2 linked regions of the Styela clava genome follow. The protein of the gene in region 1 interacts with the protein of each later gene in a pairwise test. Links are inferred from orthologs where the notes say so. Each region holds a gene or a part of one and is shown in the gene's direction. Other genes may lie near its edges.

Region 1 (16,514 bases):
TCAGGTCTAGGGCCTGCGTAATTACTTATCGATTTTAATCGGTAAGTATGTTGATAGGTGTTTGTCTGTCTGTTAGATGCACGCGATATCTCACGAAAGCGAAAATGAATCTGCTCCTAATTTTGCATGTGCATTCATCATATGTCAGACCAGAAGCCTATTGATTTTGGATGAATTATGTCGTATGATTAGCGAGTTATTCATTAATTAGTGATAGGACACAAGGTGTCACTATGGAGTAAAAGCGCTGTTTTGGGGATCCCCCAACTTTCGATCGATAAGTCTTCGGTCTCTGACCGATATTCTCGTTTTAAGTCGTTGAAAGTTCCCTATAAAATCTGGCGAAGTATTCATTTAATATCTGAACAGCGAAAAATAAATATGCTCAAACCATGAATGTTACATGACAGCTCAACCTAAATTACAATTTCCTCGTATTATGAAATCACAGAGAGAGTTCAATTGCTGCCAAAACAAGTTAACTGACTGCAGAGTAGCTGACGCTGCATTTTTGCATGTTTGTTGATATAGGAGGGAGTTACAGTAAGCAGTTTATAAAGTTATGCTAGTTCGCTTCTAAACGCTGCCTTACAACGATACAAGTGCACACTTTTGTTCGTTTTAATGTTTTGCTCTGGGGCACAAGGCCGGGCACCAATAAAAAATTTGAAAGGGGACCGTCATGAAATTTTTTTTCAAAAGTTTAGAAACCACTGGGCTAGTCCATTTACAAACCTTGACCGCGGCAAAACTTTGTTGCTACGTTATAATATGCTCTATCAGGCTGTATGTGATTGTGTATATCGTATTTTGCGACTGTACAGTACGCGATCGACTACTCAGTCAGTCAGTTTTCAGTAATTTATTTTTTCATCATTCCAAAGCACACAATGTGCCGGTCGGTGGTGTGGCTTGACACCGCACCCCTGTTAACCTGCGCGGGTTTGCAGGTTCGAATTAATTACTACGGTCCGGGGGACCTGGTTTCAAAACCTTGCACTCCCTCTATGAGTACAATACGTGAAAGAGCAACTCGAAATTCGCCGTCAACATCTTTTATACAGGATCGTTAATCGTTTTGTGATCAGTAATAAAGAGGAAAAGCTTCGTTCGCACATATAAGTAGTGCAAAACTGGAGCAATATTTCAATAGCTGCATTGGAAATGTGCTTATATTTTTCTTTTATTGAAATCCAAAACACATCAAGTGGAATTTCGCTGATTTTCAGTCTTAGCGTTCTGTCATTTCTTACTTCAAAGAAATCTTCTCGAATACGCAGGGGTAATTCTTTCCTCTAGCTCAAGTTTTATTTATATTCGATTATATACTACACGACTTCACGGAATTGAATTGGACTACTACTTGGAATCGACTACTACACGACTACAGGAATTTGAATTGGTGTCGGTCAAGCTAACGTAAAAGCAGGTTAACTTTACGTTAGTAGAGTAGAGTAGTAGACTAACATAAAATTAACAAAGGATAAAAAAAAATTGTAAAAAGAAGAGAAAAGTTGCAAGTCATGTGCGGCACACCTGGTATCGTCTCGCGGAGCACTGCTCTAGTAAACACGTTGACGAGGAAGTTGTTGTTGAACTCTTCTCACTCTTGTTGGGTGATATTTGTGGTATGGAGGATAACAATTTTCGGAATTGGTGGATGAGTGATCAATCTTTTGTTTCTCTACTTTCTAGATCAATTTATTCGGGAAGTTGGCTTCATTCAGACACGGTGTTGTTTTCTGGCTCTGGTCTGATGACAGAAGTGTAACTTGGGTTTGTTTGACTATCGACTTTATTTTTCGGGGTCTCTTCTGATTCATGGCTTGAGGCTTGTTTAAGACAGTGGCTTTTAACCAGGATGTAGGCTACCCAGTTTACAGAGATGTACCTCCGTACCGCTTATTTATATTTGGCGTCCGCATTTAGTCTTACTTAATCCATCGAGCACTGACTAAACTTTATCTCATTGGACACGCCCTTTAAACTAATCAAACGTCTTGTCGGAGGTAAAATATGTATGATTACATTTCCTACGAATATGATTCCCCTGTTGTCCCACAGAAAGTAGTCTGTTTTGGAGTTAATGATATCGATGGTGTCCAACCAAAATTCGGGAACTTTTTTTTATTTTTCTTATTTTCACGGATTAGATTACGATCTGATTTGGATCAATATTCATAATATGAAAATGTCATATCCGAATCGTAACGGTGCCTCAAGTGATCTTTTTTTTTTTTTTTTTTCATGCTTCAAGTAATCGGGAACGCGTCCCATATTGAGTGGTAGTTTAGTAACCTATCAAGGTAAATAATAGCTCATTTCTAAGCTATCAATTATGGTAGTTGAGATTCCAAACCATAAACTATCATAAAAAGGCTCCGCAAATGAGGCAATTAGACGACAGTTCAGTGTTTCTTCGACGTACGCTTCAATAACATCATTGGCATACTTGACCCGTATAAAGCTTCGCTAAAAAAAGTGGGATTTCACGATCGGGACGTTGGTAAGGCGGTGGGTCGGGGATATGAGGTGGATGGGTCGCGGATATGAAGATTGGGGCGGTGGGGCGAAGATAGGGAGGCTGAGGGAGGTCAGGCAGAGGGTTGAAGATAGAAAAGGTACCCTCCACACCTGTTGTAATTTCGCGCCGGAGGTGTGTGAGAGACTGCGTTAGATTTTTTTTTTGGTGGGCAAGCACGTGTTTTCTCATTTGAAATTCGCTGCTTTAATTCTCTATATATGTGCGTTCTAAACTCCATTAGAGATTTATATCTTTCATGTGCTCAGATTTTTTTTCATTGTAGCCTTTATATGATGGATTATGAATTCGAAATAAAATTACTTTACACGAGTCACGTGACAGACTATTAAAACGGGCGGAGTTCACTCAGGTGTGCTATGACGTCATGTTCGCAGCTGCTATTTCCAAACTGTGATTTATCACAGATTCTAAAACGAAATTTTATATTGTTTATCTTCCTCTGCGAACAATTCTGTACGAATTATACGATAATGAGGTCGTAAATATTTTCCTCATTTCTTTTGGATATAGTGAGAGAAGTGTTAAGTACCGGTACCCGTGCAACAAATCTAGATGACATTGTCGTCCAAAAGCTAAGAAGTCTGACAGCCTATTCCTGTACCGGTATTCTGTCTTAGGAGCCCGCTAAGATCACAGGTTCAGCTGTTTTCAACTCAAGTCTTGCAGTCTAGAATAAAGCGTTATCTTTTAGAGATTTCATTTCATAGGTTTTTGGTGATTTTTTGCATTTCTGACAGCGAGCGATGTCTCCCATAGATTTTGACTTGTTTATTTCAGTATTTCTATGCTATATAGGAATCTCAGACCCGAAATTTACAGAATTCGGGATCAGCTTTATTTATATATATTTACTGCAAGGCTAATTCTGGCGATTTCTCAGCTACCATAATCGTATACGAACATTTGAAACATCTATCAGAGACGGAGGAGGTCGTTGGGATTCTATTACATTTAATTTTATCTACCTGTCTTATTTCAAGCGCAATACTTATTTTACTCCATGTAAATTATCCACTGATTCAAGCAATTATTTGGCTTTTATCATTTTAAATTGAGTTATAAGGACTGCCCGATTTTGAATCGTGTCCATATTTTTTGTATAATCGTATTATTTCTATTTTATTTTTTGGTGGGTGGGCACGTACTTGTACGTTTTTTAAATTTATTTTAAGTTATGCTCGCCTTCCAGGTATCTCTGTATTTGTTGTTTGTTTACTTTTTTGTATTGTTCTGTATTTGTTGTCTGTTTACTTTTTTGTATTGTTCCGTTTTAGTCAGAGAGCCGAAATAAAATGATTGATTGATTGATTGATCATATGGGTATTAATACTGTCGGACTGCTGGACTGTGATGCGACAACATTGGACTGTTTCGACCTGCACAATCCAGCAATCGGTTGAAGTTTCCATTGTTTTGTAATCAGTAATCACAGAATCAGTACCGGTAGTTTAACACCAGGATAGGATAGGATTTTACATATTTATCCCGGAGGAGAGGAAAGCCGATACAAAGGCTTATCCATATGGCGAACCACGGCCTCTCGTCCGTTTACCATTCCAAGTCGGGTATGGGATTAGTTATGTTGTTTGTTTTCGGAAGCATGGACTTGGTGGTGGAGGAAGCCGTTATCGACCAGCAGTTACGTGAACCACCCATTCAGATATTGGAAATACATGTTGTACATATGGCAGTATGGTGATAAAATAAACAATGATTACAAAACAATGGGAACTTCAACTTGCAAATAAAAGTTTTGCCGGATTGATTTTATATCGTGTAGCGCAGGGGTCGGGAACCTATGGCTCTTTTAGTGACGGCATATGGCTCCCAGAAAAATCTAATATTCTGAGGCTATGCTTACTATTGTTACGAGATTTCAAACTCTTTTATAGCCACATTTGGCAAAAAAATTGCCAATACGTTTGTAAAGGCACGCCCAACGCATGTAAGAGAATTACCAGATACGGTAGGCATTGTGACAAAACTAGGGGATTCTGGAACATATTTTGTGACATCACAAAGCGATAGAGTCGCGGAGCAATCGAGAAAAGCTTTTTGTACATACTGGTTATACAGTATTTGTCATATACAGATCGGACTAGTAAAGCTAGTGTTTGAAATACTACGGGAATGCCTAAATGAAAGAAAGGAAATGAGTATCGTTGATTTCAACTTGTGCTGCATGTGAACAGTCATTCAAGGCCCGCAGCGACAACATGCAGCATCAGAAGTCACTTTTAATGTATATTGACATCATATTATGTGTTGACTTTTGAGTAAAAATTTCAGGTCTGATAAGTTAAGAAATGCATCTATGGCTCGCACCAAATGCAATTGAAAAAATGTACTTTTTATGGCTCTCTCAACCAAAAGGGTTCCCGACCCCTGGTGTAGCCTATGTTTATTTTATTGTGTTCTTTAACTGCTTCTGGTGGACGGCAGGCTCTTCCTGTTTTCAGTACTTGTATGTATTTTAACTTTGTCCGTGAGTTATGCCCGTTCTTCAGGTTCTCTGCATTTTGTTCATTCTTTCATTCTTGTTTTGTTTTATGTCAGGGTGACCAAACTACAAAAAAATAAAATTGATTGATTGATACTCAGTCTTCAAGGGGTTAATCTCATATCTGTCATATTCTGGTACCGGTATTTACCAACTGCTGGTACCTCAGTACAGCGGTACCTGAAAAGTCAGACTGAAGACCCCATATTTCAGTTCAGCGTGTAGCAATCCTTTTTAATTTGTTTGCTTATCAACCGATAATTGTTTAATTTTAGAATTTCAAGTTGGCACTTGGCAAAGTAGATTAAAAACACAATATGAATATATTTTTATCAGATTTAACTAATTATTTAAAATGGCGTCGTCATCTGCCAGTTGGGTTAAATTCTTCAAAGATGCTGGAATTCCAGCTGATCAAAGTGCGAAGTACGCTGTGATGTTTTCAGATCACAGGTAAGATGACCGATCGCCATGTGACCAAAATTGTTGTTTTTTGCTAAAAATATCTTAAGCTCTATGGTAAAACTTTTTTTCCGAGGAATTCAATGATGATGTTTTTAGATTGCGCCTTCTTAGTTTATTGCACAACTTCATTTTAATGTATTTTAACTGAGGGACAACTGTCTGTCCGCTGTCCACTCCATACGCCCTGGAAGAAGTGGTGTCTGTTTATCAGTGAAGTGGAATCCTCTGAAACGAGACAATGTCTCTAGATCTGTAAAGTAATTCTCACACACCCCTATTCTCATTGAATAAATAACCATCACCTATAACTCTTCTATTTTCACAGAATACAGAAAGGAATGCTCGGTGATTTGGATCGCGATATTTTATCCGACATCGGAATAAAAGCTGTCGGGGATAAAATGGCGATTATGAAGCACGCCAAGTTCGTGGATGACCAAACAAAGCGTGACGCTTCTTCGAAGATTCTTGCAGACGGAATTAAGACTCTTGAAAATCGTACGAGTAAGGGATCGTCACCGGCACAAAGAATGATTAACCATAGCATTAATAGCCGTTCACCTTCTGGTAGAAATTCTCCTAAAATTGTTGTCGAAAATGCAGAAAAACCGAAAAATTTTGCTGAAGATTTTGACCCAAGAAAGACGGTGTTTGATAGACTAGGGGTCGATTCACCGAACAAATCGCCTTCCAAAAGTAGCGGGATATTTAAGCGGCTTGGAGGGGAATTACCCAGCGAGGAACTCCCTTACGCTGGCATATTGAAAAAGCCGTCATCGCCTGTGACAACAAAAAAGAAAATTCTCATCGTTAAAAAGGCAAAGTCAACGAGTGTTCTCGATCGGCTTGGAGTGCAAAAGTCCCCTCCCCAAGTTGTTAAAAAACCCGTTACTGTCACCATGGCAAAGAAAGTTGTTTCAATTAAAAAGAAACCTGTTGCCGTAGCAACAACGACATCACCAACCAAAGTTTTAATCAAGAGAAATGTAGAAACGACAAAAACTGGGATTAAAAGGTCATCTAATGTACTTGATCGTCTCGGAGATATCGTTACAAGCACAACGAAGCAAACCGAAGAAGCGACTGAGGAATCTCCAGCTGTTAAAAGAAAATTAATAGTTGTCGGACAAAAGAAAAAACCTGCAACTTTGAAACGCAAATCGACCGGTGACATTCGGGAGAAAATTTCTGCTAAGAAGCCTATTTCAAGTAACACTGTGTCCAGTACTTCTTCTGCTGGGATTTTTAAAGGTGCAGCTCAGGCCAGTTCTAGTGTCTTTGCTCGCCTCGGTGCCAAATGATAGCAGCCACTAGCAAGGATGTCCAAAATAAATAGAATTTTGGAGCTCCAGAAATATGTGCACCAAGATGGCGCACAACCTGAACATAGTATATGTACCAGGTTAGGGTTCAGGTTGTGCGCCATCTTGGTGAACATACTTCAGGAGCGATGAATTTTCGAATCAATTTGGAATTTATTGTGTTCAATATTTTGAATTAATTTTTGAAATATTCAAAATATTTTCATTTTAAATTATTTTTTGAAGATTTGAAGTCACACAGTATCATGAAGTAAACCTTAATATTTCTGAAATTAGAAAACTAGCAAATTACTGTTTTCTGTGGTGTGTTGACCTAGTGGTCGGCAACACAGATTACTTAGCTTGGGTCCAAATTACTTCCCCCCCACCTTACCCAGGGTGTAATAAATTAGGTAGCCAATGCCAAACTGGAAGGAACAAGTCTTTCGAATAGGAGTAACTCCTCTCATATCGTTAAATGTCAATGGCTGCTTGTATAGAGCCTTACAAATGTTCTTACTGGATGGGCTGTGTGGTTTGGCAATGTTTTCTGGTACTGGAGCTTGAATCAAATTTTCAACTTTCCTGTGGTCTTGGATCAAAATTTTTTTGGATTCTGAACATGTTCTGTTGTTGGGACTGGTTTAAAAATTCAAAAGCATGCATTAGTGCCTTCAGAAAATAGGTCGAATGAAATATTCCTGGTTTGGTAAACGGGGTGATGGGAGCTGATTCAGCTGAATAATTTGTAATTTTTGAACTCATTGAAATTTACTGTTTTTTTTGTATTGATCTGATGTTTTTGCAGTAAAATTGTATCATATGTTACAGATTTTATACCAAAAATTCATTTTAAATATTCAAATTGGATTGCAAGATATGATTCAAGGACTATTATTAATATACGATCACTTCTATCCAGCTGGTTAATTTCAACTGGGTATTCCCCCTCCTTTTTTATCCTTCAACCATCTGTTTTATGATATTTTGTATGTTTTTCAATGATAAGGACAATACTATTCCGACCCCTTCAATATGGAAATTCAGTGATGCATATCTGGCCAGAATCTAGAATATCAAAATAGTACTAAGTGCCTTAGGAATTTACTTTAAACGTGCTGTGCACTGCTGTCTGAAACTACTATTTTCATAACTTGAGATAATCAGACTTTTTTAGGAAAAAATCTTTTAAATATTCAGGTAAATCATGATTTATGTCAAATGTTATGAGTCCTATTTTTACTCTTGATAAATTCAATACAAAATTATCAAATAGGATTTCAGAAACCCAAGCTATTTTCAGTCACCTGGTACTGTTCACAGGGTATTTGCACTCCCATAGTATGTGTACCAGGTTAGGGTTAGGCCATGATTTTATTCCGATTTTCCTTATTTTAGTTTTATTACGAGTTCAGGGACTGTCTGTGTTACCCAAGTGAATATATCCCCTGCCCATAGGCTTCAATCCCTTTACGCAACTTGATGTAAAGTGGTCGAACAAAATTAGTTACCTTGATATTGGTACACATACTTCTGGAGCTCCAAATGCTCTCCTTTCATCATACTGTTTTTTTTATTTTTATCCTGAGTATATATTGTACATTGACATGTTCATCCTGACCCTTTCACGAACAAATTAGTGTTGCATGATTGGTCAGATTATTCTCACCTTAATAGAAGGTGCCCATGTTGCATGATTGGTCAGATTATTCTCACCTTAATAGAAGGTGCCCAGTGCTGTAAGGACATGCTTGGGTTAACAATAGTTCAAATTGTAATTCTGGATAAATATAATTTCACATACTGGTTTAGTTTAGATTCAAATGCATCGCAAAGTTTGAAGCGTTTTTTGGTGATTGATAATGTCTCAAATAGCATTTGCATATTATTTTGTATTTAATGCAGAGCTAGAGTGTGTGAAAGTCGAAGACATATTTTTGATTTTACACATAGATTGGTACAAATTTCACACAACTGTTCATGTGCTTTTAATAAACCCTTTTTTATTAAATTTTAGATGTTACTAATTATTTAACATAACTTAGCTAAGATAAAATTCAGAAGTAGGAACAAATACCGGTGAGTTTGTATTTTACTTTATTATTTTAAAGAGCCTACAAAACTGTCGACTCATTGTTACTTATCGATTTTAATCGGTAAGTATGTTGATAGGTATTTGTCTGTATGTCTGTCTGTCTGTTAGATGCACGCGATATCTCACGAAAACGAGATTGAATCTGCTCCAAATTTTGCATGTGCATTCATCATATGTCGGACCAGAAGCCTATTGATTTTGGATGAATTATGTCGTATAATTAGCGAGGTAATAATTAGTGATGGGCATTAGTTGATGGGACACAAGGTGTCACTATGGAGTAAGAGCGCTGTTTTGGGGGATCCCCTAACTTTTGATCGATAAGTCCTCCGTCTCTGACCGATATTCTCGTTTGGTTGTCAGTACTATTCAGCTTCCTTATTTTGCCAATATAGAAACGATAAGAAAACTTTAAAATCTAAGGCTTGGCAGCTGGAGTTACTGGAGATATTAATTGAAAAGGGTATTACACCTAGATAACAGTTAGCAGTCAAATTATTTGTAACCATTTACCATTCAATAGCCATTACCGATTATTTATTCAACATCGGTTAGCCATTACCGTTAACCATGAACCATCCATTCATTTATTGATCAATCGTTTATTTTTTTTATATTGGTTGGTAACCGTTTGTTTAATATTGATTATCCATTTGTATTACCATTTAACTGTTTATTTGTTTATTACCGGTTATTAACCATATATTCAAAATTGATTAATTGCTTATTTATTTAATATTGTTAACCGATTGAATTACCGTTCATCTGTTTATTCATTTTATCACCAGCTAAAAATATATTCAATTACTGGTTAATCCTTCATTTATATTTTAATTCTCTAATTTCTCTTCCATTCTATTCCCAGTTACCATGCCGATCGTTAAACGAACAGTCTCGCCCACAGCTCTGTGTCGGCAGAAAATACCAAGGGGATTGAAGAATGAACTGGAATGTGTGACTAATAATACTTTGGCCGGTGAGTTGGGGGTAGTACATGGTAGTGAAAAAAGTTTTTGTGTTTTTATGGCAGCGGTTCCCAAACTTTTAGTCGTGCAGCGCCAAATAATCACAGAAAAAAACTCACGGCGCACTTCCATAACAAAAATGCTACTCATCAAATAAAACTCAATTTTGTTACAGCTAATTTGTACTTTATGCATTATAAAGTCACCCATGTTTGCTAAACTCGTTTCAGCAGATATATAAACTATGCACCTAGTAACTTTTGGGAACCAATATTTTATAGGATTTGGTTTAATATTCAATCAGCAATACATCTAAAATGATAAGGAAATTTATAAGAGAGAATTTTATCTTGTATTTATATGTAGTATTACTTTTGTCTTTTATAGACTGATATTTATCCCAGCATAACTGTATTTTTTAAATGAAAAGCGTACAATAGGAGGGAATTTTTTTATTTTGAAAAAGGAAATTTCATGTCTTTTTATATGTATTATATCTTTACTGATTTAGTATTATTACAATACATGGACACATTCAATCTGTGCAAAAGCTACAGTGCTGGTCGCCTGTGTCATTAGCTAGGGGTTTATTAAAAATGAAGTGCTTTTATGCTTAGTTTTCATCATAGCAAAGGCTATTAATTTAAACCACCTTTCCATCCCTGGTTCTTATTAATTTTACTACGTCTTGCGAAGGGCTTGTTGAAGGCCCTTTTGTAGATCATTTGTGCTGTAAATTCTCACAGTAGCCTACATATAGTAGAAAAACTTTAAACTTTTAAGCTTTGAATGGTTTGTTATTGGGATGAGAAAGTTCTCAACAAGAAACCGCCTTTGATGTGATAAATTATGTATTTGGAATGTGAAAATTGTCACATAGTCACATAAATAGGATCCTGTTATCAGATCCTTTTGTTTATTATTAAATCCTCTAGATTCGATATTCTGATTTGCACTTATAAATGTAGGGTAACTCATAAGAAAAAACAGAACCCAGGTTATTTGTAATTCTAGAGAGAAAATAACTCTCGTGCAAAGCGTCCTAGATTAATTAAATCTCTTGGTGCAATCCTGCACAAAAAAGAAGTGTTAAATAAACATTCTCCATTTTCATAATAATTACAAGAAGTTTGTTAGTTCTGCCCTGCATAACAAGTTCTAATTTTCTTGGGATGCAATCTGGTGATATTCAGTTCAATTTGATGTTTCGGACACAGGATATTGGTTTTGGATTTGTTTGAATATTAAATTATTTGATTTTGGTGATCTTTGAATTTTCAGAGGCTCGGCAGTTGGTTCATCGTGCTAAGCCTAGGAATACACTTGCAATCCAAGCGTACCTTTGATTACCAGGTTCGCACTTTCAGTCCTTCGGGGAATAATTATATGCAAGATTATAACTACTATAACCGACTTGACGTGTTGTCGTGTTTCACTACATGATTAAGCTGGATATGAAAATCCCGGGAGAAACGATTCATCAATATAAACAACAACAACAGATTTACATGAGATATTGCGCAATAACCCATGCATTATTAAATCACAATCTGGAAACAGACGAAACCCCCTCGTTGGTCAAAAATCTGAATAATTTATATTTTCGCCTGAAACGATACCTGAGGTAGTGATAAATATTTTAAAATCTTCTGAGATAGATTTATGTTTGAACAAGCATGGCCCAAATGTTAAATGAGCGTCTATGTCTGTCCCACACGTTAGTTATCATTTTAAAGTGATCAATATGACCCTTGACCCAGGAAGTGTGGAAGTGAATATTTATGTTTAATTATTTAGTTCCTGCCAGTTGGTTGACGCAGTTAGTATTCATGAAGGTTTCTGGTACGAGGGCTTTGTTAGAACGGCTGATTTACGGTTTGTGAAAAATAGGTGGATTTCTGCTACTGGGATTGCTTCACAGAGATGAATATTATTGTTTTGTTAGCGTTTTGTGATACATCATGTTAATGAGTTGACGTTTTCTGTTTTTTGTTGACGTTTTCTACTTTTCATCGCTAAACCCACAGAGTGGCTGTATTTAGAAAATTTGTACAAATTCCAACAAATTTGTCAGATTATGTAAATTAGTTAGGGGTCATAGGTGATCTCAGATTTTGTTTTGTTTCTCACAACTGCTGATATATTTCAGGATATTTTAAATAGTGGATATTTAATAAAGCAACTGGCTTTGACACATGTTTCAAAACATGACCACTGAGGTAGTCATTGATGGTAGGTTTCTTTTATTATTTATGTTGGGGATTTCCCTACCCCACACTGTCTGGAAAATCAATAGATTGTTGGAAATATATCGACGCATGAAATCCAAATTGGGCTAAGTCCATTTTTCTAGTTTTTCTTTTTTTTATTTCTCTAATACCTTACATCGAGGATGTCTAGTTTTTATGGTCCACCAAAGTTACAATGAAGGCCATATTTAGATGATATAAAAAAAAATTGTGCTTCGCCCCAATTTTTTTGGGGGGGGGGGGGGGGGGTTGGGACTTAACCCTTTTTGGCTCTCAATTTTCTGGACCAGAAACAATTTTATTGGACTTAGGGCCCCTTTATTATGTCATTATAGAGGCTGGTATGGACTTAGCGCTTTGTATTATATTTTTTGAGAGGAGCTATGTCCAAAAAACGGACTTTGCCCCAACTTACAATGCAGTTATCCAGCGCTAAGTCCACTATAGTAGACACAGCTCTGTTTAGTTCTCAAATGCCCTAAAAAAAGCAGGGTTATGTCCATAGCTGTCTTGAGATCTAGAGCACCTAGAGATAAGGCAAATAGACCAAAATGTAGAGCTAAGTCCAGGAAAATCAGCAATTGAAAAATGTCATTTTTTGGAAAAGTGGAGCACTGTTTGGTTTTGAGGTGTCGATATGTTTGTTTGTGAATTCCAGAGCTTTTATATTTTATGCTGGGGGTTTCCCTACTCCCCATTATCTGGAAAAATAAATATGTTGTTGCATATATATATATGTCTGCAGATTCCAGAGCTTTTATATTTTATGCTGGGGGTTTCCCTACTCCCCATTATCTGGAAAAATAAATATATATATATGTCTGCAGATTCCAGAGCTTTTATATTTTATGCTGGGGGTTTCCCTACTCCCCATTATCTGGAAAAAAATAAAGCATTGACCTTTTTCTGATTCTTCTTTAATGCTATTGTATTTGGAATAGTAAATTATCCAAATAAGTAAATTTAGGAATAATAAAATATTGAAACACGTTCATAGCATATTTTGGTTTTAGGAATAATCAACTGGTTGGAATAATGGAGCAAAATGGCGTTTATTCACTTCACAAACTATGATTTCACCTTTCGAAATACCATTTTAGTAGGAATAGTAAATTATTCAAACACAGTAGGTTTAGGAATATTTAACGGTAAACCAAAATAATATGCACAAATTTTTGGATCTAGGGATAAACTAGGAGAGTTAGAATAACATAGCTCTGTGAAGCATAGCTCAATTTATCATATATTCCAAATTTTAGGGATGATCAGCAAGTTACTCTATTCAATGTCTTGCTGCACACTTGGCAAGAAATTCACTTTATATGGATGCATTTGATTATTTAATAGAATGCGTTAGATCTGGTTAGTTACTCAGTTTGCCCAGTCATGGTCTTTGCTCATCAGCATGTACCTTATATTATGATTGATTCAGAGACAGGAAGTCTTAGAGGAAATGAACCTTATAGTAGGCATTAGTGAAGGGCTGGCCCTCTACTATAATATTGTAATATATTGACCTCTTATTAAGTAGACTTTGCAATCAGGAATTATGTAAAATGGCCGTAAAAATAGAACAATCCATCAAAACATTGTTCATCTCAACTAGTCTGCATCCATAAATCCATTTTTGGAAATTTTTACTAAAAATATGAAACCCATTATATCATTCTTTCTAGCATTTACAAATTCAAACTCATTTTTTATGCAGACCCATTTGGCGATGTTGTGACATTTCAACTGATAATAGTACAAATAAAGCTAATATTCTTCGATGATCACTCTGAAATTACTTGAAAGTCAATAATTCGAAATACGTTAGGCCTATAAAATAATGTTATATAACATATTCTGTATGTGCCAATCCAGGATAAATCAAATATTGGGACATGTTTGTTATAGATGAACAGATAAAGTTAGTCTACAGATCTTTCCTATTAGATTCAGTTTATTGGTTTACACCAGCATGATTTTAAATTTCCAGATTTTCAAGCATACTCTGTAAATTTACATTAATATAAACAGATTTTATCATGTTGTCAAAGGAAAATGGAGAAATTTTGTTGATTTGTGCAATATTGATAACAATAAAATAGTTAGCTGTTCACACCTTTTTGCATTCACTGTTCGTCGTGGTATTTAGAGTAGCATTATTTTTATTTTGTTATTCATTACCGAAAATGATGCGCATAAATATGACAAAGCATTCTTTAAAAATTAGAGAGCTGGAGGTCTACACAACCACGGGTTGCCATTTACAATATTGTAAGTCTTTAAAGATGTCCTGAGACTTTTCAAGACGATTAAAATGTAATTTTAAATCCTTCTTAGGAACTATCTGACTCTTAGATATGAACACTGTGATCAAGGCTTCACTCTTGTGTGAACATTATTGTCTGTTACGAATTTTTGTCTTTCCCTAGAGTATATCATTTATCCTATTTCTTCCAAATTGAAGACGTAGATCCTTGCACAGGGCTTTGTTCAAAGCGAACAGAATGAGGGGAGCGTTGTATAAAAACATATAATTTATTTTGATATTTTTAGGTGTCATCCATCAGCTTGCCTCGCTCTCCCAACATGCGGAAGACATCTTTGGTGAACTTTTCTCGGAGGCGAACTCATTCTATGGTCGAGCATCGTCATTAAAAGATAGAATCGATCATCTGTCAGTCAAAGTCACCCAGCTGGATTCCAATGTAGAGGAAGGTAAACTTTTCGAACTTGTATGCCCTCTCGAAAACATTCGTGATCTCCTATTTTAAAATAAAATTCTCATCGGTTATTTAAATTTTGGGTATTCCCGTAGTGTGTGTATCGGGTTAGGGTCAGGTCATACTTTTATTCCGATTTTCCTTATTTTAGTTCTATTATGAGTTCGGGGACTGTCTGTATTAGCCAAGTGAATATACCCCAGGAAAACTGTTCTATAGCCTCCTAGAGTTGACGAGGGCCCACACTCTGACATCAATCTGATCTGTTCGAATTTGCCGATCAATCATTATTTAGCAGCGTATAATTTACTGGCATGTTTCAGTGGAAAATTACTAATTACATATTTTTTTTATGTTCAGTTTCACTCATCGACATCAACTCAAGGAAAGCATTCAAATCGTCAGTAACAACCGACCAACAAGTAGTCTCAAGGCAGTCTCTGTCTCGTTCCGTATTGAATACTTACAAACAAGCCGACGCCCCACCCCCACTGCAAGAGCTCAATCAATTCAGGTTAGTTTGCTTTAAGAATTTGAATATTTGTATTTGTTTAACAGTAGCTATTCTACTTACTCATTGGGTACTCCTGTAGTGTGTGTACCAGGTTAGGGCATAATTTTGTTCCAATTTTTCTTATTTATTAATTTCTATTACGAGTTCAGGGACTGTCTGTGTTAGCCAAGGGAATTTACCCCATGCCCATAGGTTTTAGATACAGAGTGCAACTTTGCTCATAACTTTGCTCCTCTGTGACTTGTCTCTTCTAGTTTGTAATGCACCCGCACAAGTTTGCTCTGAAAATCTTTTTTTAACTCACTCACTTGATCATATTTTCCAGAGAGGATGGCAAGGACGGGCTCAAGATCTACACCGACCCTGATTATTTCTTTGATTTGTGGAGAGAGGCGATTCAGAAGGAAACGAGGGAAGCTCGAGAGAAACGACGAGAACAACGGAAACGAGATCGAAAAGCAAATCCAGATCTGAGAAGTAAAGCTAAGGTTAGTTGCTCATAAGAGAATGCTGGATCCAAAATTTCAGAATTGTTACTCTAACATAGTTGGGACTGATTCACAAAACAGTTGCATTTTAATTTTTAACGCAATGTTCTAATTACAGGTTCGTCAAGCGGTCAATACACGCAAACAGCAAGCGGAGAGAATGCGGCATGGTGCGGAATTTATTGAGCCTGTATCCAAATCCTCGTCTGCGAGCGTCCGCAGAAGTTCAACTGCTCGAAAGAGGGAACAACAGCAAGTACCACAGAAGGATTACCTCCCTCCTCCCACTGAACAGCAGTCGACAAATCATCCGCATCCTGCAAGGTTTGTTATTTCTAGCATGTTATGCCTGGAGTTTCCAAACTTTCCAAACTTGTTATTCTTATGACCAATTTTCTTTCTGTAGCATTACTTTCTTACCGAATGTGAATTTAGAATGTTGTACATTATTTATTACAGCACAATGTTCCGAGAATGATAATATGAGATAGATTATACAAGGTCATTACATATCTTGCTTCATTTGAATGATCAACTGTTTGTAATTTATATTCACAGAGTTAAGTAATCACAATGCATATAGCTAAAAAGCAATTACCTAACTATGTTCCATATTTTGCAGCGAAAGGTAATTCCAACTGAATTCAGTTAACATATCTTTTTATCTTTCCAGCATGCCAC
Region 2 (16,862 bases), on another chromosome or scaffold:
ACACGTGTAATGCCCTTTTACATTATCATTGCATCTAAGTTATATCAGAAAAAGTTGAATCTAATCGTGTATTGTACTCTATGTAATGATTTCTTTTATTTTTGCAGGATGTGATGTGAAGGATGTGAATGGAGACGGTATGTTGACATTAGAATTTAATTTAACTAGTTTGAAATTTTTGTGATCTGGTAATGCTATATAAATAATAGTTTTATATCTAGGGCTATCTAGGAGATAACACTTCACACTTGTTGAAATATTAGGTTTGGTTCTATACTTACAACTGTAATATGTCAAATAGCAGGACAGGATTTTGACCACCCTTGAAAAAAAATTGATGCCAAATGTCAGCGTTAATTAATATAACAGTGTGATGAGTTCATATATTTATGAAATCGCTGTTATATTTCTGAATATTTTTCAAGTTGTTATTAACAGTCCATAGCATTGTAATTGTTTATTGACTATTGACTTTTTGATCAAGTACACTTCAAGTCTTCTGATGATATAATAATCAAAATTTCCCTATTTTTAGGTTCAGGTACAGATGGTGACAGTGATGATGACTCCATGCCAGATTTAGTCGACAATATAACAACATCAACGGCATCTGCTCATGTTGATCCCAAGACAACATCAGCGACTGCAACGAAGGCTTCTCTGTCAGCTGATGTAAAATTTGTATTGTTTTCTAGTCATTGTTAAATACTTTTAAAAGTAGTCCGGTACTGGCTTGAGCTCATGCATTATTATATATGTTGTTAATGACAACAAAAGATATATCCTTGGCAAAACTAGTACCAAACTACCAAAGTCGAAAAAATAAATATTTTTCTTTGTACTCGTGCATTCTCATTGTTTTATGAAATTTACCATACTCGACCGAGACTGAGACTCTCATGCTTGAGTTTAATATATGGGGCTCAATATGATTTTCTTTTAACTCCAATATACTAATCACTGATGTTCCAGCTATATATTTTCAACTGTGCCACTATGTCTCTTTCCACTTTCTATTGGTCATGCTACCCAGTATGAAAATTATCACACTTTTCTGTAACAAAATTACTGGAATTTATTGAAACAATAGGGAACTACGCTATGTTTAGAATTTAAATCGTTTAGCGTAAGTCAATTGTTACATTACAATATCACTACACTGTTACTTTAAATAATTTTCAGTAGGTAAGTACCTGTTTAATAGGTAACTGAGTTCTTTGGTGAGTGAGTGATAATCAACTTTTTATTTTTAAGGTGATGAACTTACTCAACCAAGCAAGTGCTGGAGGAGATGCTGAAGAGCAGGAGCAAGTAAAGGCAAAACAATCAAGAAATGAAAAGAAAGCTAGAAAGGTTTGTTGGCATGATATTGAATTTTACAATTTGCAATGTAAAAATTGGAACTGTGTCAAGCAGAATCGGTAGTACAAAGCCACATGTCGTACTTTTTTTTTCATATTATAAGCTAAATTTTTGAAACTTTTTCAAAAGTTGGATTATTTTGTTTTTTGACATGTTTAACAATGTCACTTGTATATATTTTATTTTGTTATTTCTATATTCATAATTTGATTAGATGACATTGGTACTTTTACATAAAATGATAATAAATTTGATGATTACCAACTTTATATCTAGGCGATTGCAAAGCTGAATTGTATGAAGAACATCACTGGTATTACACGCGTAACAATAAGGAAATCGAAGAATATTCTTTTCGTTATCAACAATCCTGATGTTTTAAAAAGTCCAGCTTCAGATACGTATATCGTATTTGGTGAAGCAAAGGTAAATTTTTGTTTCCTATTGTTTTGTTTTCTGTCTTTATATAACCCACCCAGGAATAACCATTTATTTAGTTACTCTTTGTTCCGACTTCATTAACAACATAGTCTTCAGAGAACTAGATGTGAAACTAATATGACTGACTGCAGACTACTTCTTCTAATGCAATTTTACATCAATTGCTCTGTCACAACAAATATCATGGGATTGAGTTTTTGAGCATTCAAGTTTTATCCGCAGAATATAGAAACTTAAAAATATTTTTCCGAATGTTGTGACAACTAGTGCATATACCGAAGGTGTATTTTTTATAATGAATCAAAAAAAAATTTTTTTTTCAAGATTGAAGATCTGTCCCAACAAGCTCAACATGCCGCAGCTGAAAAGTTCAAAAACACAATTCCATCTGCCGCAGAAAATGCAACTACTGCTGCAAGCGTTCAAGATGACAGTGATAATGATGAGGTTTGTGTTTATTGCTTTCTTCTTGTTAGATAGTAATATGGCTTCAAAATGTAGGGAAATGGATAAAATTTCTATGATAGATTAACATAAATCTCTATCATCCAATCATCGCGACCTTCTCATTCCCAAATTTTTTGATGAAATTTTGCAAAATTTTCCACTTTTGGGCCATGGCAGTTTTGAGACTGAAAGTTTTATTTTCAATTTTCCATGTTATGTATTTCACGTTTTATATTATCAGGAAGTTGATGACTCTGGTGTCGAAAGTAAAGACATTGAACTTGTTATGCAGCAAGCGACCGTGACCCGTAACAAAGCCATTAAATCTCTCAAAAAGAATAATAATGATATTGTCAATGCAATCATGGTGAGTTATGAAAAATGGTTTCGATTTTAAGATCTGTGGTAATAGGATAACATCAGATTATTTTGCTTCTTTCATTCTGGGTAAATCAAAGTTGGCTATTTTTTTTACCTGTTCAGGATCCTTGGTATAAGAAATCTAATAATACGACTCGCTTTCCTGTAACCTGTGCAGGGCTCGTGTCTTACCAGTTAATTGTTCTCAGTGGACGGGGGATTAATCTCTCTGTAATGAGTTTGAAATTGTTATTCAGCATTTATGCCATGAATGTATTCGGATTACTTTTTGTTAATGTATGCATTATTTTTTGCAGGAATTAACTATGTAGCGAAGGCAAATTTCGCACATGCTCATCGGCTGGTCTCAACCATGCGTCACTATGACAAATACTGTGGTGTAGCTTGTCAATCATCATGATGCAGTTCTATTGTTTTGGATTTTTGACGCGTTGCTGTTGTGCATGAATTGCGAAATGATTTGTCGGTTCTCCTTTTGTAATTTTGTCCCATTTTTCATGTACAAGTGTTTGAAATAGTATGTTGTTGGGTGTTTAGGAGATGTGCTATACCCCAAGAAATAAAATTCTGGCCAAAAATAGTTTTATTGGAATTTGTCAGATTTTTTGAAGCCAAAGGGAAGTTAGTTAGAATTGGAATTTGTGATTCCGTGCTACTCGATTCAGACAGTTTTATAACTAGAGCTGCTAGATCTCATCAGGTACTTTGTTTGTAACGTGAGTTCGACGTATAATGACATTGTCTTGCAGAATATGATCTCCTTTGGAGACGATTATTTGCTACAGAGTTTCTGGGCATGACACGTTTCTGGTTCTGTGGTTGGCGCATGATTTTATTAGGACGTCGGATCGAACCGGTTAGCGCAATCACTGGTGGTTATTGCCTCATTCTCCGCAAAAGCCTATACATCTGGTTCAATGAAATGGTTAGAAATTCCCCGACTGGATCGGTAGCCTGACGCGAGACCGTTAGTTTAGTAAAAAAAAATCGTGGTTCAGATGATTTCGCAAACGCCCAGCTCGTCATTTCACCATTTGAGGGAGACAGAGATCTTTCTCTGCGAAAAGTTAGAACTGCGCCTTTGAGGCACAGTGCCCGTAGCTGAGTTGTTTGCTAGGCAGTTTGTGATTTGCTTTCAATTTTATATTTACGGTATTCCGGGGGAAAGAAAAGAAGATAATATAGCTAACCAGGGTCCTCTCGTCTGGTTACTAGTCCATGTCGGATAGGCTATTTGATTAGTTACGTTACGCAATGGTATTGCATGTACACAGGCAGACAGGTAGGCCGATTTCTGACATTGTGATACTGATGAGCTAGTCCTAGATCCGGTACCGGTACGGTACCGTACCGGTACTCTAGATTCGATTTCAATATCAGCCCCCACTTTGAAAGACATCAATTATAACAGTGAGTGCAAACCCCTAATTTGTGAGGCGCGATTTGATAACTCTGTCCAGTAACCAATTCTATTACCGGCATGCTAACTGTAAGTAGCCCACTTAGTTAGTAGTATTCATTAATGATTCCTGAGCATTTTTTCTGCTGCGCATACTCCAATGAAAGAAATACCATTTAAAAAAGTGTATATATTTTTATGTCTTGTGAGTTTACCAAGAAAATTATGATGATTTTGTTTTCTTAATTATATTAAAGTTAATTAGAATACATTTTGTTACAAATTATGATTCTTGTATATTATTAAATTTTAATGATCCTTTATTTTGTCATATAGGCTAAGTAGTGTAGACTTAAATGCAATTATTCTTTTAATATCAATAGTTCGATATAAAATTTGGATTGAGAAATTCGATCATATTTGAAAATAAAACACCTGATATAACACTTCTTAAAAAACAGATAAAAATGGCCCTAGAGCATAGAAAAAGTACCGGTATAAAAAATTCCAGAGTAAACAAACCCTTTGAAAAGGATTTACAGAATTTATGTGAAGCAATTACGTAGGTTTATGATAAGTTTTATTATACATTTGCTAATTTTATTTTTATTTTTTTATTGTATTATATCATTACAATTATTAAGATAATTTCAATATTATGACTAATAATCAATGATGAAAAAACTATGAAAACCAATTTCAACAAATGGTGAATGGATTATGAATTCAATGGAATATGGACTTATTTTAATTTGTACATTTATTCATTCTTTGCATATTTATTAAAATCACTTATTCGGTAAGCCAATCAAAAAAAAAAAGTGTGTAAGTTACATACCGTGATAAATATTGTTTGATATATATTTAAATTAGATGTAATACTGTAATATGGCATAACCTTTACATGAATCTAGTTATTCTGAGGTTGAAGGTGGGCGTTTGAAGAGGGTGAGCTTGGAAATAGTATGTCTGTTCCACAAGAATGGTATGAAAACTCTGAATGCGGCCAAAAATGCCGCAGTCCAGAATGTGTTGCAGATCTCAACTGCATTATTACTAAAGGAAATGCATTGCAAATTAAAGAACATATTCGAACTTCTTGTCCGACAGCTACCATACGTTGTGATACTTTGGGACGAAGTGCTATCCACTTAGCTGCATCATGTGGCAAAATAGAAGTATTGGATTGGCTCATTGCAACTTTTAATTGTAACTTAAATGTCCAGGACAGAGAAAGTGGATGGACACCACTACATAGAGCTGTGTATTACGGGAGACTTGGTTGTGTAATTTTGCTCATTGAACATGGTGCAAATATGTGGGTAAGGGACAAGGAAGGAATGACACCTATGGACATTGCCATGCTCGATTGTTCACCTTGGGTAAGGTATCTTAGATTTTCAAGGCAAACATATAAAATGCCTTGTGTTCTTAATAACTCAGATACATCTGAAGTCTATACATGGGGTATAAATGACAATTTTGTTCTAGGGCAACGAAATCTAAAGGAGTGCAAGTTACCAGAACCTGTGGATTTCTTTGTCAAAAGGCATATCAATATTAAGGAAGTTGCTACGGCTAAATTCCATACTATTTTTGTTACCACATCTGGGTCTGTTTACTCGTGTGGACATGGGGAAGGTGGAAGGCTAGGAAATGGTAATCAGGAGGCTTGTCTTGAACCAGCACAAGTTTCTCTTAGCATAGGTGTGTGTGTGTTATCAGCAGCAGTTGGTTTGAATCACACTGTACTCACTACAGATTCTGGTCATCTATTAGTTTGTGGCTTGAATAAGCATCACATTCTTGGTGTGTCTTCATCATCAGATCGTGAGTTAGTTCCTGTTAGAGTTCACGGAGCTTTGAAAACTCTACGTGTAATTGGATGTGCTGCAGGTGTATTGCATACTGTTGTTTGGACTGACAAGGGTCGCTTATACACTTTTGGTGCGAATGCTGGTCAGTTAGGTCATGCTAAAAACGACCTTTACGTAAAACAACCTCGGCAAGTATCAGGAGTTTATAAAGAAGGGGATGGTATTATTTGTGTTCATGCATGTGATTCTGCTACTATAGTTTCTACACGACAAGGCACTGTGTACTTGTTACAAAATTACGTTTGTCGGAAAATAGTATCGAAACAATTGGATATTGTAAAAGTTCAAATAGGTGGAGGAAGATTGGATGTTTCGGCTCTTTCTCAAATTGATCAACGACTTCACTCTGTTCACAATTTGTTGAAAGATGACAGTTTACATGTCATAATGAGCAAAAAATCTGGTGATATATTGTCATGGAGTAAGGCTCATGGAACACTCGACAGATGTAAATTCAACCTGCCGCAATCATTTCTTTTCAAAGACATAGCCATTTGCAATCATGGACATACTGCCTTGTTAGTCACAAATACAGGACAAGCTTTTGTTGCAAAGTATGGAAACTGGAAAGCTCCCAAACCTCCAAGAAAAAATTCACAATCAGCGGTAAATACAAAGGCATATGATAGCTGCTTGGATATGTTGGATGCTGATTCTGTACAAGAATTTTCGTTAGATCAGGTATGTTGTGTTTTTCGTGCACATTCTGGTTACATCGGACCCAAAGCAAAAGCAGGAGCCATATTGCAAAGTGAACCACGTATCTTTTCCACTGATGTTCCTACGGTTGGCGATAGTGAACTGCAAGAAAATATTCAGAAATTATGGGAAGATGTCACTGAAAATGATAATGTCCATGACATGGTTGTAGCCGCTGTTGATAGCAAAGGGAATATACTATTATCAATACCTTGCCACAAATTCATTCTTGCCTCGCGTTCTCAGTTTCTGAGAAAAATTATCACACACCAGACGCGAAAAAGTACCATCGAAAATGAGGATGAAATCACATCGGAGGATGTAGAACAGAATGGTGTCTTTATGAATGAAAATTACACAGTTAACATTGATCATCTTCTTTTTGAAAATTGTGATCCTTATGTGTTAAGAAATCTTATTGAGTTCATATATTGTGAGTCTTGCGAATTGTTACGCCCAAAAAATACTGTTCCAGCTGCTGCTAAAAATATTAATTCAACAGAAACCAGAATTTATTGGGAAAGTGACAAAATCACAAACTTCTCTTCGGCAAGAAATGGAATTGATTTGTCAGGGAAAATTCAAGTTACAAATGGTAGTATTTCTGCTTTTGCAGTCTATCAAGAATCGGATAAACATACAAAAAAATCAAAATCAGAAAAATCTTCCAAGCACAATTCAACATCCAATCTTCTTTCACAGTTTAAAACTCTGGCAAAGAAACTTGGTATAAATAGATCTTTCTTCGATTCTATAACTCTTCAGGATGGCGTAATTCAAGTGAAGAAGGGCACGAGTAGCTTTAAAGCTATCTTCCCTTCATTCGACTGCCACAAACTTCACAGTCTTTGTGATATTGAATTAGAATGTTCCGATGGAGTTATTTTAAGGGCCCACAAATGTATTTTGGTAGCTAGAATAGAGTTTTTTAGAAGCATGCTATTATCACAATGGGCGGAAAGTAAAGGTATGATCACAAAGGTGCCGATTCCGTCAGATATTTTCAAATATGTGCTGGAGTTCTCCTACACTGATTCCACTTTTGTATTGAACCACTTTCTGTCACCAGAAACACTGTGTGAAGTAATGGCAGCTGCTGATCAACTACTGATGAATAGGTTGAAGGACATCGTAGAAGTTCAGGTTGCTTCACTATTAACTTTGAAGAATGTATCTTCGATAATAGAATTTGCGTCTGCGTTCCACTGTCCACAGCTAATAAAAACATGTAGACAATTTATAATCCATCATCTACCAGCACTCATGCATACACCGAATTTTTATTCAATAGAATATTCGACGTTGGAAGAGATGGAAGATTCATACAGATCAGCTATCAGTGCTGTATATTTACGAGGTATGCCACCTAGTACTGAGGGTCCACCACTTCTCGATGTACCAGAGAATTTGGAATCCAGCTCTCTCTTTCCAATTTTTGAGCCTTTATCTCCAACTGATAAATCTTCAGTCTGGCCTGGTGAAGGGCCGCCTTCACCCCAAAAGAAAAAGTCATTTGGGCAAAGACGAAGTAGTAAAAGCAGGAAAAAATCATTCTCAAAATCTTCAACTGGGGGCATTATTCTGTCTGATCTTTTGTCTAGGAATGATAAAGATATTGACAGTTTCGTTGACAGAATTGCATCTTCAAAGAATAAAGCTTCACTTAATGAAAACACACAACTGGATTCTCATACGTCTGTGTCTCCACCCAATAATAATGCTTCAACTCATATTGATTTCAACGATAATATTGATAAAAAATTAGCTGCTGTCAAGATCAAACCGATACAAAAAGGTTTTGTGCCAGTCTCAAGTCCACAAAATATAAACAAATCTAATTTTCAAGACATGGATACTCAGAAATCTCAATTTCCCAGTCTATCTTCGAATTTATCACAACCAAATCATCCTGCTCCATCATCACATATAACTCAAAATAACCCATGGGGCTCTATGGCTGGTATTGCTGCAGAAACCAAAACTTATCCTGTTGCTATTCCTATTAAAAATAGTAGTAGTGTAAACCATGGCGGATCTGGTGCTGCTATTACAATGAAACCAAAAAAGTTGTCTCAAAAACAAAGGAAAAAGTTAGAAAAAGAAACTGCTAAATTAGAAGTGGAGAGTGTTACTATCCCTGCTGCTACCTCGCCTCCTATTAATGCTTGGGGTACAGTAGCTAGTCCACCTAGAACAGACTCCAGGTCTTTCTGGGATGTCATGAAAGAACAATCAACTTCACCCAGCCTTATTGTGCAACGTCCAAGAGTTGTATCACCAGATAAAATGACAAAATCAGAAATAGATAGTCCATGGCAAATGGCGCCTAAAACTTTACAAAAGGATACATCAAAAGACTCTGCAATCCGACCAAATTCTTCGTTTAGAGACATAATGCAAAGCACCATGAATCAGGCTGAGGAGAGTTTAAAAAGAATGAATAAACCATTGCATGATATTCAGCTGGAAGATCAAGCGATGGCAGAACTGAAAGTGCATTACCAAAACACAACTCCACACATTGACGAACAATTTTTCACTGTTGAAAGGATCTCAGCAAAGTACACTTAAATGACATGACATGAATTGAAGAGCAACCCATGTGAAATAACATTTGATGCTGAGGATTTGCCTTAGTACAGTTTGTATTGCAAAATTGATATTTTTGTGCCTTAGTTTTCTTTGTGCAATATGATACTTGATTGCTATTATTATTTTTTGAAGTTTCAAAATATCATTTTTTATGGATTACAACCAACCATAGATATCATGTATGAACAGAAGAAGTATTTGGTACATAAATATTTTTGTCATTAAATTTGAGAAGCTATGTTGATAGAGATAGGTTTGTATATTCTGAATTTTATATTCCAATCACATCTGAAGAAAGGTATTTTACGATTCTTTGCCAAATAAAAGAATATATTATAATAAAACACACTCGACTCGGGACTTCAGAGCGCAGATCAGTCTCTGGTTTCAATTCTCATATATGTCTTAAAACGTAAGGAACTTCCTATTTTTTCTTCTCTGTACTAAATGAGCATTTGTGAAGCATTATTCTATATTAAAGGTTGGTGCTGGTGTAGTTTTAGGCATAATAGTTTCAATGTTATTTACTTTTTTGTAAAGTATTACATAGTGGAGTACGAATATTTTCAGGCGTCTTTAATAGTCTGTTTTACAATATGCTCAAAGCAAGGTCCCACATTTCACAACCATTTAAAGCTAAACGAGAAAATTATATTTATGAAAAAAATGAATGATATGTTTGTCATCATACACTTAAAGATAAATACCTAATCAGAGAAGAGACCACTTTTTTCCATTATTTTTAACACCATATGTACCAGTATTGCTGGTGTTATAGCTTGTGGTTACTTTTATATCAATGGTACTACCGAACATTTAATTGAACCATACTATATCTTCATCATATTGTAGTCAAAGTGAAAATAAATTGTTGTTGAAGTTCCAAAAAAAAGTAAGTTTAGCACAAGAGTTGAATTGCTTCACATTCCTGCTTTTTGTATTGTGATTGGGCTAAATCTATGCTTTCTACCAAATTGTAGTTTGTTATTTAAAATCACCATCACACATGCATATTACAAGTCAAGATTTTTTTCAAGTTGTCTATCAATTATGACAGCATATTTTTCATGGTTCAATGACTAGTTTACTGTTTTGATGCCGCCACATACTTATTGTTGCATTTGCTTTACTTCTTTAAGTATTTTGGGCTTGCTTGTCTTGAGCTACCCTAGCAAGTGATATGATGGAAAACATTTCAGATATATTTATCAGTTTAATACATCAGGTTTCGTTTCAATTCTACTTCTGAATTACCTTGTATTGCTCGCTTAATAGCATCTGTGCTTTATTTATTATAGGTTCATCGCAGTATTATCGATATATCTATAGGTTTAATAATAATGCAGTGATATTGATCGTCTGATAATTCAACGAATAATTTGATAGTCCGATATGGCTGAGCTTGATAGTTTACTTCATGAGGAAATCCCAAGTGGAAGAAAAGCTCTTTTGGATAGCAAAGCCAATTTAGAAAATGTTGCAAATTATTGTCAGCAGATGTATGTCGATGTAAGTGAAGATCATAATGTGCACTCATGTTTTGGTATTAATAGCACTTGACTTTCGTTGAGTGGATAATTAGGTCCACTATATTTTTATTTTATTTGATTACAATAGATAAACGTTGAAAGGAAATGTATACCTATTGATAATGTTTGTTTCTGAAATGCCAACATCCCCTGGTTTTATGTTGGTTAATTTTGAAAATGAACGCTTCTATATACCTAATTTTTAGTAGATGTGATTAATTCTGGTGAATTAAATATTATCATGACTGAGTGTATTATTTACCTTTTTTGCTAAAAACTAGATTAATTAAATTACCATGTACTATTTTTTAGGCTGACAACAAAAAGACTGCACTTGATGAAACAAAGAACTTCACAACTCAGTCTCTTGCATCTGTTGCATACCAGATTAATACATTAGCCAGCAACATGCTTCATATGCTTGATATACAGGCTGCTGAACTTGCAAACATGGAGTCGTCAATAAATAATATTTCAATGGTAATATAACGTGTTTCTTATTTTTGCTACAGAATTTATTCGATTAATTTAATTCTTTATATATTGATTTTAGCCAATATTTTGCAATGTATTCAGCCAGTAAATTTACTTTCCGAATCTCATTTGTACTTATACCGAAATATGTGTAAAGGAAGTTATAAGAAGAATATTCAAATTTAATTAAAGTTAGTACACAGGGCGATCCAAATAACACAACCCAGCTTATTTAAAACATATTCGGGGCTCCTGAAGTATGCGAACCAAGATGGCGGACATCGGAATGTAATATGTGTACTAGGTTAGGGTTAGGCCATAATTTTAGGTTTAAATACTACGGGAGGCTCTTGGCTAGTCTTCGAACTGATAATAGGACTAAAATAAGGAAAATTGGAAAAAAATTATCGCCTAACCCTAACCTGTTACCCATGTTACGATCCGATGTCCGCCATCTTGGTTCGCATACTTCGGGAGCACCACATATTCTGATGAGAGCATAACGTTTGTGCAAAGTGTCCAAGATTACTGCAACTTTTGGGTACAATCATGCACAAACATAAGTTCAAGTGTGAAATAAATTTTCTTCATTGTCGTGGAAATAATTACTAAGCAGTTTGTTGTGTCTTCTTTTTGGGCCGCTCTGTTTTATATACAAACTATCACTACAACTCAATTGCTCTCATTTTAGACTGTTGATATTCATAAAGAGAAGGTGGCAAGGAGAGAAATTGGTCTTCTCACGACAAACAAAGTCATCACAAGAAATCATCAGATTGTTGCACCATCTAATCCAGACAGGTGCACAGTTTATTATGATTAGAATATTTTACTTTCAACAGAAAATTTTCAATTTATAATGTTGTATTTATGGACAAAATGTGTATTCTAATATAGGAATTATTAATAGTATCTGTTATTTTTATAGTATTGGTTATTTAATATCACTTTGTAGCTGAATTGCCATCAATTTAATTGAACAACATTTCAAGTCAAAATTTCTGTAAATTTAAAGCTTTTAAAATTTTTCTACAGTTGAAAAAAGGGCCATGGCCCATGGCCTTCATAAAATTGAACCTAGTGGTAGAAGATTCTAGTGTTGTTATTAATATTATCCATGAAATGTGGTAATCTGTTCAAATATTAATGAGAGCTCTAAAATAAGCCAATAGACAACTGTTCAATGAAATTTGAAACAATTATTTTTATCACACAAGTATTCTAACACCTTAAAATATACTGAATCTAGTTTTTTTAAAAACAGACCAGAAATGCTCAAACACCCATACACTGCAATATGATGTCTTTTTATTGGTGCTATATTTTATTCAATTCACAGAACTGTCAAGTATGTACGAAAACCAATTGATTATGCTGAATTAGATGATGTAGGACATGGTGTGAAACTTGCAAACCAAGGATCTCAGAGCGGAAATCTGAATGTGAGGAGAGTCTCAAAAACTCCAAGTCCAAGTGTAGATGGAAGGTAAATTCATATCCTATTAATGTATCCTCTGGAAAATGTTTACCGAAATGTTATAGGTTATTACGGTAGTAAAATGCTAATATAATTGAATAGTTCAGGATTTGATGAGCTATTGTGCTAATGCTTGTTCCAAGTCATTTATGATTTTTCATGGCTTTGCTCATGACGAAATCTCTATTAAAGCAATTCGTTGTAATTTGCTCATTTGACAAACCAAACATTTGACAAACTGAATTGACATTTGACAAACTGATAAACAATGACTTCACTGGAGTTAAAACCAGAGAGGGATCTTTGATACCTAGCATTCTGAGTATTTTGAGATTGTTTGGGGCCAGTTATGTTATTATCAGGCTCAATTATGACATTCCTATTTTGGTGTTGGACGTTGCAATGTTGTATCGCGAGCACAATCATATATTTTAAAATGAAAAAAATGTATACATGATATTTCAGCAGCACAGGAAATTTTGTTATTGTTAGTAATCATGTTATTGCAATTTGAAAGGCAATGTAACTCTGTATTCTTATGTTGGCAGATGCTTATGATATGATGATTGTAGCAGTGTCTCATGTTTGCACTTATACATAGGCATGAAATTTTTTAATGGTTTGATCATGAATTCAGAATTATTAACAATTCTAGATTATTTGAGTGATTCCAAAATACCGAATCTTATTCTGTTCTCATTTCTAGTAATCTGTGGGCATTAATTCTTCCATCACATTGCTGGATTAATGTTCTTAAGCTCTGAATGTCTCTATATTTAAATGGAATGGTTCTGAGAATTAGATTGTATTTGTTAGCAATTGGCCATATCTCAAGATAATGAAGTTTCAAAATTTTGATTATATTATTTGAATGAAATTGTACAAATATAGATAGAGTAATCAGTGTCTATACATAGCTTGTAAGAAGTAAAGACAGGGAAATGACTGACTCATAGAAAATTTATCTTCAACAAATTCATTACTGACTATGCTTAGATAGATCCAAGGTTATGGCTGAGTATAAGAACATGAATAATATACTCGCCTGTGTTTGAATGCCTTTTTATACAAAATATTTACATGTGTTCTGCCCCGAACAAGGTTTTGCGCAAGAGACTACTGTTATGTGAGAATCTACTTCATATTGGAAGGATCGGATATTACCAGTTTGACATTACCCAATTTATTACACCCTGCGTGGGGTGGTTGGCATGGGATTTGAAACAGAGATTTTGGCATGGCATGTGTCTAATGCCATTAATCGCCAGACCACCACCATGACCACATCTTTTATCTGGTAGTTAAATTTTGGTTTTGTTCATTTCCAGGAAACGTGACAGCTTGAAAAGTGTCACCAGTTCAACTGGTTATGGCACAATACGAGCTGTGCGAACACCGACTGTACCAACTGACTTCACCGCAAGTAGTAAGTTTATTTATTTCAACAGAACATCATTTTATATGCTCTATAAATACTTTTTCATTTTGCATGCCTAAATGCTTACTTAACAGGTGACAATAATATGGTGACCTATTCATGATTTTCCTTCTTTGGATGATTGAAATTTATTATTACATGATTGCGCCTTCTGTGATATTTGAAACCTATTTGTTGTTCTGGAAAATTTTTTTGATTATGCTACTTGCAAATAAGTGGTAAATTTACCATATATTGCATGTCTTTTGTTGAAATGTGTACTTTTCACAAATCTTCTTCCGGTTTCAACAATCCCTAATTTATATTGTTTCGCCTGTTTCTATTTATATTTCGATTATTTTAACAATATATATAATTTTGCCTTTTTTTGTTATTTTTTGATTTTACATCGAATTTTTTCACAAAGCAAAACGACTTCCCACCATGTATCGAAATCGAACAAACAGTAACAGCAGTTCAGGTTCTGGAAGTATGAGCTCCAGTGGTGGTTATTACCCTGGATCAGGTAAGTGTATTAGAGCCGCATTCATTTAATGTAGTGAATAATGAAAAATTACATCAAGTAGCCCACTTATTATCTCACAGTTTTGTAGAATGCTAAATGGTATCTTACCTCCTGAATTTTGATGTTGCATGTTGGTATGGAAAATTAATGTAATTCCATGTCGGATGGGACAAAAAATTCACCAAGTCCCACCCATCACAGGATTTATTTATGCTTTTCATATATCAGATGAACTCCGTAGCCGTACCAGCCAAAAATAAATCGATATCAGATTCAAATCGGGGGTTCGAAAAAATTATTTCCACCCTTCTGAAAAGCAATCAAAATTTCTTTCACAGAACCTAAAAACTGGATGTAATACACAAATTAATAATTTAGAAAAAGTATACAAAAGTTTAATAACTGATTTTATAAAACCTACACAAAATACCCAGATTTTGAATGATGTTAAACACAAAATGCACCTCTAATACTTGACAAAATTTGTTCAAATTTTTTTTTTGCTAGTATCTTTAAGATCTGGCTTGTAATTGGCCTCAATTGACTCCCTAAAACCATTCCTTTGACTTACATTCCTACTAATAACTAAAAAAAATCTTTGTGTGTTTGGTAAAGAATTTTCAATATTTTGATGTCTCAAGTATTTATTAATACATGAGATTGTCATGTTAAATTATTATCAAAAATAGATATTTGTAATAAAGAAAATATCAGTTCTGTGGTTAATTTATTTTGTAAATAATCAACCTGCAGAATAAACTTCATTAGACAGAAATGCTACGAGTTCGACTGATAGTATGAAGAATGTAAAATAATGTGATATACGAGGTGCTGCTAAAATGAAACGGGACTGACGTCACAGATTGCGCAACACGATTAACCATCGGTAATCAACACTTCTGCAGTGTGGCGTAATATGTGTTCTTTGTTTAACAGCTGTTTTGACACAATATCGCAATTATTTTTGCTTTTCAGGATCCATAAGTGAATGTGATAAATTTCTTGTTGAAAAAAAAAATGCTGTGCGAGGTCTGATTGAGTTTTTTGGCGATAGGGGGTTCAATTGCAGAATGACGATTGAGCAAAGAATTAACATTAAATTTTGTGTCAAACTTGGAAAAATGCATGTCAACTGGGCATGCATTCAATTGTTGAGCTTTCTGCTCCTCAGTCAACTCAAGAGCCTTTGGCATCATTTTGGCACACACCTTTCGCATTCCCAAAGTGTCAACCAAAATGGTGCGGACCGTTTCTTTGTTCATCCCAATTTCGTTGGCAATGACGCGAATTGTTAAGCGACGGTCACTGCGAACCAACTGCCAAACCTTTTCGATGTTGGTATCAGTAGTGGAAGTGCAAGGCCTCCCTGACCTCGGATCATCCTCCACATCCTCCCTGCCTTCCACAAATCGCTTGTGCCATTCAAAAACTCTTGTTCTGGACATGGAAGAATCTCCATAAACATCACGCAACATCTGCAAAGTCTCAGTCGCCGTTTTTCCAAGTTTGACACAAAATTTAATGTTAATTCTTTGCTCAGTCGTCAATCTTTAATTGAACCCCCTATCGCCAAAAAACTCAATCAGACCTCGCACAGCATTTTTTTTCAACAAGAAATTCATCACATTCACTTATGGATCCTGAAAAGCAAAAATAATTGCGATATTGTGTCAAAACAGCTGTTAAACAAAGAACACATATTACGCAACACTGCAAAAGTGTTGATTACCGATGGTTAATCGTGTTGCGCAATCTGTGACGTCAGTCCCGTTTCATTTTAGCCGCACCTCGTATATCATATTATTTTACATTCTTATTCTTACATTATTACGTTACATTATTTTTCATTCTTTTTCTACATTCTTACTAAAAATTCCATTTTGGGAAATTATATCTGTTTATTAGGTTCTATTTACTGGTATTTGTATTTAGTTTTATTTTTACTTACGCTTTGTTTTGCATGGAAAATGGATTTGCAAGTTAGGCATCATTTTTCATCATTCATTTTCAAGTTTTATTTGATTCATATTCATATCCTAATCATTAGCTGATGCATGTTATTGATCCATTATTTCATATTTGATAAATAGAAATTTGGCAGGGTGATTTATTTAATACTGGTGCAATGATATTTATGGCTTCGAGCTTACTAACACAATCTAACACGCATTGTGAAACTTATAGGCCCTGCTGCTTCACAGAATTCCCAATCTGTATCAATGGCCCCTCCACCGGTGCAAG

Evidence for each region.
Region 2: the proteins of actin-binding protein WASF3-like (region 1) and abl interactor 2-like interact in a two-hybrid assay, tested with the Drosophila melanogaster proteins (2 studies listed by BioGRID, with this or other methods). The link is inferred for Styela clava from reciprocal best matches to the Drosophila melanogaster genes SCAR and Abi.

What each region holds. Positions count from the first base shown.
Region 1 is NC_135259.1:22,308,072-22,324,585, reverse strand, and holds the start of actin-binding protein WASF3-like, read left to right. Parts: upstream 1-8,769; 5' UTR 8,770-8,890; intron 8,891-9,771; 5' UTR 9,772-9,776; coding exon 9,777-9,882; intron 9,883-14,664; coding exon 14,665-14,826; intron 14,827-15,191; coding exon 15,192-15,345; intron 15,346-15,670; coding exon 15,671-15,833; intron 15,834-15,951; coding exon 15,952-16,157; intron 16,158-16,506; coding exon 16,507-16,514. Other genes in the region: uncharacterized protein LOC120337403, read left to right, coding at 5,401-5,498, 5,836-6,811.
Region 2 is NC_135252.1:4,673,062-4,689,923, reverse strand, and holds the start of abl interactor 2-like, read left to right. Parts: upstream 1-10,490; 5' UTR 10,491-10,590; coding exon 10,591-10,707; intron 10,708-11,039; coding exon 11,040-11,207; intron 11,208-11,892; coding exon 11,893-12,002; intron 12,003-12,540; coding exon 12,541-12,687; intron 12,688-14,006; coding exon 14,007-14,104; intron 14,105-14,522; coding exon 14,523-14,621; intron 14,622-16,805; coding exon 16,806-16,862. Other genes in the region: nascent polypeptide-associated complex subunit alpha-like, read left to right, coding at 108-137, 536-672, 1,255-1,353, 1,639-1,788, 2,128-2,250, 2,492-2,617, 2,928-2,942; inhibitor of Bruton tyrosine kinase-like, read left to right, coding at 4,996-9,177.